Arabidopsis thaliana: one gene and its partner. The protein of the gene in region 1 interacts with the protein of each later gene in a pairwise test. Each region holds a gene or a part of one and is shown on either strand. Other genes may lie near its edges.

Region 1 (3,934 bases):
AAAAAATGAAGAAAAAGAAAATGGAAGGTCAAAAAGTTGAATGCTGAAATTGTTCTTCTGAAAGAACGCGGAATTGGGTTAAAGAGCTTTAAAGTGTTGGTGGGCCGACACGATTGGTCGGCATGAAATCTTAAGGTGTGAACCTTTCAAGTACACATTTCTGCTGCTTATGCAGTGTCCATACTCCAATTTCGGTTCGTACTGGAAAACATACTAAAGTGGATGTATATTTGATAACAGTTTTTGTTTTTGTTTTTGAATACTAGTATTATATAAAAGAGATTTTTCCTAGTCTACTAATGTTTCAATCCAATCCATTGTAGTTATCAAACTAGTTATTTATGGGTATTCAAAGCTGATAATATGGTACTGCGGGGTAGTAGTATAATACTAAATAATTACTTACGAAATTAATAATGAAATGAGTAATTATAGAATGAATGCATATAATTAAGTGTTTTTTTTTCACAAAAGAAAGACGCCTGAATTTAATAATAAAGTGTATTAAATATTAATTCACATTTGTCGTAAATACGTGGATTGTAAAAGTGTATCAATCGTATGTATGTACCACTGGTTAAACAAATGTATGATGCATCAATAGTCAAACTAAAAAACTCGCTGATCTTTGAACACGAAGTTGAAAAAAAAGTCGAAAAAATCTCACTGATGTATGTAAAAAGAAAATATGTTGGTAAATAAAAGAAAAAATGGGAGGATAAAAAGGCAGGGAATAATCACAAACTTTTAGGCCTAAAAATGATAAGTGTTGGACCAACCCATGGCTTGCACGTTTGGTCTCATCTCGTTACTTTTGTTTTCGATCTCATCGATGTCTGCGTCTGTGCGGACCATTTTACCCTTGCCTTTTATTACTTCACTAAAAGATGAACACACGAATTATTTAGACATGCGGCACACAATTTTATTACGGTTAAGTTTACAGTTTTAAGGCGAAAATATATCGTTATGCTTTATGCTACATTAATTATGTATAGTAGTACTCCCTACCCAAAACAAAGTTACGTATAGTACTTTGATTGGCCATCGAGGACTCAAGGTTTACTAAATAGAAAGTAAAACAAAGAGATGTTTATTGCATTCGTCGTCCACACATAGAATAATCAATCATCATCATGATTTGTTTTACATTCTTAAGTTCTCGTAATTATTCGTTTCGTACGTTTTTTTAATTTTATTCCAAAGAATTTAACATTAATATTTTGAAGAACCATGTGCTACTAGCCTACTATTATACTCAATTGACAACAACCCATTTTATTTTGCTTTTGCTCGTGTTTCATTCATTTCGAACGATTGGATTTACATAAAATAGTCTATACACAAAGACAAAACAAAATCGCTTTTTTTTTTTTTTTTTTTTTCATTTTGTATACTATTATTGTGGAAAACGCAACATTTATATATCATACTATTGATCTTGCATGGTTCCATGAATTTTCTAGGTAAAAAAAGTGTGTTAATAGAACAAACAAAACTGTTAAAACATGTTGAATTACTTAATGCAATTTGACTCTGGTAAAACATGGTCAGCCACGACATTTCAACTACTCTCATTAACTCCCAAATGTTTCATCATTTAATATATGAAAATCATTATATAATACTCGTATGATTCAATTACTCAGATAATAGTGATGTAATGCATGACACTTGTTTTTGGAATTTTATTTTATTTCCAGTTATATATTACAGTTGTTTACTCGTCAGACTAATATTGACTGTTATTAGAAATAAAGGTACTTAATTCTTATTCTTTACGCGCTACAAAATAAGCAACAATGGCAAAACCGTAAAAATGAGTAGTCAAAGGGGTATTTGGTTTTAGAAAGAGATGAGGATAAAAATGAGGTTAAGCGTTTTTATTATTCCCCTGGTGGAAAGTAGGCAAGCAAGTGGTATCATCAACAAACAAAGCACTTCTCTTTTGATTCGATTCTCTCTTTACCTTGAAGCTTCAATATCAACCAAATCTTTTTTCTCAAAATCTCAAAGAATCTCTCAAACTCAGTCTCCTATCTGTCTCTCTGCAAACTATTACCAACCAGGTTAGATTCTTGATCTCAAAGTTTCCATCTTTTTATTTTATGTCGGTTGCTTTCGCTGAGTTCTGGTTTCTTTGATTTTCTTAGTTACAGAACACAACTTACTTTGTTTTTTGGTTTGGGCTGTGTTGAAAATTGAGCTTAGGGTTTTATGTAACAGTTGTCTTAGCTCATAGTTACGGTTAAAAAGCTCTCAACTTTGTCTCCCTAATGATAATTGAATTCAATCTTGTTTATGATTTTTCTCTATTGGGTCGATCTTTAACTGAATCTATCTACATAAAGATCCAACCGTTTTAAGAATCTTAGGGTTCTTATCATCTTGTTCAAAACTAAGATTCTGTTTTTTGGTGTGGCAGATAATTTAGATATGGAAGCTACTCAGAAACATATGATTCAAGAAGGATCTTCAATGTTTTACCATCAACCATCTTCAGTCAAACAAATGGACCTTTCTGTTCAGACATTTGATTCTTACTGCACACTTGAATCCTCTTCAGGCACCAAGTCTCATCCTTGTCTTAACAACAAAAACAACTCTTCTTCAACCACAAGCTTTTCCTCTAATGAAAGTCCCATTTCTCAAGCCAACAACAACAACTTATCAAGGTTTAACAATCATTCCCCTGAAGAAAACAATAACTCTCCCTTGAGCGGTTCTTCAGCGACAAACACCAACGAGACAGAGCTTAGTCTCATGCTTAAAGATTTGGAGACTGCAATGATGGAGCCTGATGTAGACAACAGCTATAACAATCAAGGCGGGTTTGGACAGCAGCATGGAGTTGTTTCTTCAGCTATGTATAGATCTATGGAGATGATCTCTAGGGGAGATTTAAAAGGAGTGCTCTATGAATGCGCAAAAGCTGTTGAAAACTATGATTTGGAAATGACTGATTGGTTGATCTCTCAGTTACAGCAAATGGTTTCTGTTTCTGGTGAGCCTGTTCAGCGCTTAGGAGCTTATATGCTTGAAGGTCTCGTTGCTAGGTTAGCTTCTTCGGGTAGCTCCATCTATAAAGCATTGAGATGCAAAGACCCAACGGGTCCTGAGCTTCTTACTTATATGCATATCTTGTATGAAGCCTGCCCTTATTTCAAATTCGGTTATGAATCTGCTAATGGAGCTATAGCTGAAGCTGTGAAGAACGAAAGTTTTGTGCACATTATCGATTTCCAGATTTCTCAAGGTGGTCAATGGGTGAGTTTGATCCGTGCTCTTGGTGCTAGACCTGGTGGACCTCCGAACGTTAGGATAACGGGAATTGATGATCCGAGATCATCGTTTGCTCGTCAAGGAGGACTTGAGTTAGTTGGACAAAGACTTGGGAAGCTAGCTGAAATGTGCGGTGTTCCGTTTGAGTTCCATGGAGCTGCTTTATGCTGCACGGAAGTCGAAATCGAGAAGCTAGGAGTTAGAAATGGAGAAGCGCTCGCGGTTAACTTCCCGCTTGTTCTTCACCACATGCCTGATGAGAGTGTAACTGTGGAGAATCACAGAGATAGATTGTTGAGATTGGTCAAACACTTGTCACCAAACGTTGTGACTCTGGTTGAGCAAGAAGCGAATACAAACACTGCGCCGTTTCTTCCCCGGTTTGTCGAGACAATGAACCATTACTTGGCAGTTTTCGAATCAATAGATGTGAAACTCGCTAGAGATCACAAGGAAAGGATCAATGTTGAGCAGCATTGTTTGGCTAGAGAGGTTGTGAATCTTATAGCTTGTGAAGGTGTTGAAAGAGAAGAGAGGCACGAGCCACTAGGGAAATGGAGGTCTCGGTTTCACATGGCGGGATTTAAACCGTATCCTTTGAGCTCGTATGTGAACGCAACAATCAAAGGATTGCTTGAGAGTTATTCAGAGA
Region 2 (3,934 bases), on another chromosome or scaffold:
AATTGATAGAGTTGCACTAGCTAGTAGCTACTAAACCAAGTGGTGTCTGACTTTGAAGTCCAAGTCCAAGACTTCAAGTGGGTTTAAGAGCGTTTAGCAAAGTTGAATCGATGTCTATTACACGTCTAAGCCGATCCAAACGAGAATGAAGCTTTTTATATATTTTATGTCGAATTGTCGACCGCCGAATTTCGTGATCCACACACTACAATTAATGCTGATTTAGAAAGACTTTTAAAGTCAACTAAATATTACACTATCGATGGTATGAAAGTAGACTACATTAGTATTGCGTTAAAGACTGGTCAAACATCAACGGAACGTAGTTTTCTTTATGGTATTTAATTGCACCATAATCGATACTCTATATTTGCAATCTGTATAATGTATATCAACTATCTAATGCATTTTATCGTGCGTTGAAGTTCGAATCGGTGATGTTATGTTGTCATGTATGTAGGAGCCAAAAACCTCCAAGATATTAACCAAAAAAACAAGAAAACACGTTCAATAAATCTTAACGCGGAAGACAAAAATGACACTCAAAAACATTCAGGAAGCATATGATCATCTCAATTTTGACGGGAAATGTATCATTACTTCATCACAAGTAACTGATCAAATCTCCTAATTAATATCCCGAATGAGGAGAGGAAGAAGAATCCCCAAAGCGCCAGAATCTGGCATAATCTTGCTCTTCTTGTTGCCTAGAAGAGCCACCAGAAGACGAAGAAGTTGTAGCAGCAGTCGTAGTACTATTATCATGAGACATTGAATATCCGGTACCACTCCCATACCCACCGCCCAAATTAAAACTTAGCATATCACCACTACTCGCATCATGATAGTATTGATTATAGTTCGGTATACTTTGTGGTTCCATTTGTGGAATTTGGTTGGAGGAGTAATATGTAGAGTTACTTCCAAGCTGAACCCTCTCCGGGAAATTGAGTTTTGCTTTGCTTCCTTTGAACTTTAGGGCTGCTTCATCATAAGCTAAGGCCGCAGATTCAGCGGTTTCAAATGTCCCGAGCCACACACGTGCCGCCTTTTTTGGGTCTCGGATTTCAGCTGCCCACTTTCCCCATGGCCTTTGCCTTACACCTCTATAATGTCTCCTCCTCAAGTCCCCTTTATTGAAATCACAAAAGTTGAAATCAGAAAATCTTTGGTATGGTCTACTCATACATGTGCATAGTATGTAAACTTTGTATATGCTCATAGTTTATGTGTATAAATATATATCGTCACCTAATATTGGTGCTGAAACCATATACTACCAACAAAATCTCCATGTTAAAAATTACATTTTGGTAATAGCCTAATCGTTTTTTCTTTTGGTAAATGAGTATTGAAATAAACAGTATAATAATAACCTTTTAAGTTTGAGATTTACTTCTGATATGAAATTTGCACATAATTTCAATATATCCTAACATTGTTTCAACCAAAAAAGATTCAAAGATCGATATGAGCATGTATATATATACCTTGGTCTTGATGAGTAGGCGCAACTTGTTGATTAGGGTCTTGTGGATTATACACAGAAGGATAGTTATCATCAATAGAGCTGATGTTATCATGAGATTTGCTTTGTTGGTTTCCGATTACTTGAGTCAAGGCCGAGACCATAACACGCATGTCGTGTTGAGATCGGGCCGAGAAGACCGGGAACAAGTTCTCATCTTCTTCCCTTTCTTCAGATTCATCACCTCCAAAAGGCCTCTTCCCATACATCCGAGGATCTACTTTTGCTTGATTTTCTTTTAAATATAGCCTTTTCTTCCAAAAAAAAAATTTGATATAGGATTTATACAGTACTTTAGGGTTGTTCAGTTTTTCTTTATGGCATCGTTGAACATCAAGAACAAGAGGATGATAAGGAGAAGAAATTAGATTGAAGTAAATGAAGAAAGAGAGAGTAAAGTATTTTTTTGGGGGGGTTTAGCAATTTTCTGAGGCTTTTATAGAGGAATTCGTTCTACGTGTGAACATATGACCTAAAACAAATATGTTTTAAGTTTGATTTTTTTTTTTTTTTTCACATTCTTTCGTATTTAATAATTTCTTATATGTGTTTGTTTCTGTTATCGTATTTAAAAAATATGCTTGTACGACCAGTACGGATCAATGTTTTGTAATGAAGGCATGTATAATGAGAATGTTTGTTAAACTTTTCTTATTGAGGAAAGTGCATGTGTATTTAAATATCAAAAGAGAGGATATTTTATAAAGATTACTATAAAATACTACACGAGATGGGAAAACTAAACATGCAAAAGTGAAAAGAATAAAATAAAGAAGAGAGGAAAATTGCGCATGCATGTTCATGTTTTGTTTAATCATTTATTTTGTGTGAAAAGGGTTTAACACATTCATGGAATTGAGGGAAAGATATAGACTAATAGTGTTTTTTGTCTAAATTATAATTTAAACTATAAAAAGCACTGTCGTGGTCTTAGTTGTATATGTAATTTAAACCGACACATTGTTTTTTTCGTCAAAAATCGACCTGCATTCTCAAGAAAAAGGTATTAAGAAAATCTATAATATAATGTAAACCGACACCCTTGTTGTGGATCCAAACGTGAATTAAAAAGGAAATATGAGTTTGCGTACGTAAGAAGTGAACCTATTAATTTATTTAAAGACTGGTTGACTAAAATTTGCAACACAAAAGACGTTTTAAAAACCTCTAAATCCAAGTATCGTGTACACACTCGAATTGAGTTAAACAAAGTGATTATTGTTCTATGTCGTAGTATGATGAAATTGATTAAATGGTTAGTGTTACATTTTGTAGAAATTGTTTAAATTGCAAGTGTTAGGGTTGTGTACACGTTTCTACGTCCGAAAGGAGGTATTTAATTTTTACTCAATGGAGCTCTTGCCTATCTACATATTATAGGCTTGTATGTAAAAAATTTGACATTTGAAAAATTATTCACTCAAAAAAGTCAAGAGCTAACTAAGTTGACAGGTAAAGAAATTATGTACAATGTGTGACAAGTACGGATATAATAATGTAAGACTTGTAAATGTAATCCACAGCCAGTTTGACTAACTTGATCGATCATGTGTGTACTGCGTTGGTGTTAGGTTCAACTACCACTTCCCTAACCAGCTGTTTATTTATGTTTATGATCAAAATTTCTCTAAACTGTAGCTTTACTGTTAAATGTATTTGGTCTTCACTTTGGACACCCTCATCTAAATCTTAGATCACATGTGATACCTAACTATTCATTTATTTGACGGAAAATTTATAGTGTGATCAATAGCCATTTGTTCACGTTTTCAACATTTTGATAACATAATTTTATTATTTTCAATTATCCGCAAATAATGCAATATTCATTAAGAAAAAAAAATCATTGTTTTAGTTTTTAAGAAATGATTCTGATATATATGATACACATGTTTAAAAATATATTAAATTAACAAAATAACAACTATAAAAAAAAAATCTACAAAAAATTGTTTTTGGGAATTCTATGGTTATTATCAGTCTCTTACATAATTGATATAACAGTCTTTACCTTTTACTTTTTGGACACTTTCTCCATATGTCAAATCATTAGTTGAAAATGCAAAACAATATTCATCTGTAACTTGAATGTTTTTTTTTTTGTTGGACGTTCACTATTCTCTATCAATAGAAGAAATTAAGCTGCACAAAACAGATATCTTCAAATTCCAAGTATTGATGTAAAAGAAATCAAGACAAATGTGTACATCAGCCTCTTCATTCGAAACTTACATCCCACATTCAGACATTTTTATTATAAAAATGGAAAAAGCTTATGTAATCGCGCAAAACGACAGCGATTTTTAACCGCCGCAGTGGTTTATGTAATGTATAATATGTACACACTTCATTTACACACGAGACGAGATCATTCATGGAGGAATCGGTTTCATATTACGGATTCTC

What was found.
Region 2: the proteins of SCL5 (region 1) and AT5G61890 interact in a two-hybrid assay, tested with the Arabidopsis thaliana proteins (one large-scale study listed by BioGRID).

Annotation. Positions count from the first base shown.
Region 1 is NC_003070.9:18,737,481-18,741,414, reverse strand, and holds the start of SCL5 (scarecrow-like 5), read left to right. Parts: upstream 1-1,765; 5' UTR 1,766-1,855; coding exon 1,856-2,069; intron 2,070-2,079; exon of another isoform or gene 2,080-2,241; intron 2,242-2,425; coding exon 2,426-3,934. UniProt on the Arabidopsis thaliana protein: Probable transcription factor involved in plant development.
Region 2 is NC_003076.8:24,852,008-24,855,941, forward strand, and holds AT5G61890 (Integrase-type DNA-binding superfamily protein), read right to left. Parts: upstream 1,935-3,934; 5' UTR 1,738-1,934; coding exon 1,491-1,737; intron 1,132-1,490; coding exon 632-1,131; 3' UTR 315-631; downstream 1-314. Other genes in the region: AT5G61910 (DCD (Development and Cell Death) domain protein), read right to left, coding at 3,901-3,934; BON1 (Calcium-dependent phospholipid-binding Copine family protein), read right to left, coding at 3,901-3,934. UniProt on the Arabidopsis thaliana protein: Transcriptional regulator of cell proliferation and axillary bud outgrowth. Involved in maintaining the structure of the shoot apical meristem as well as plastochron and phyllotaxy.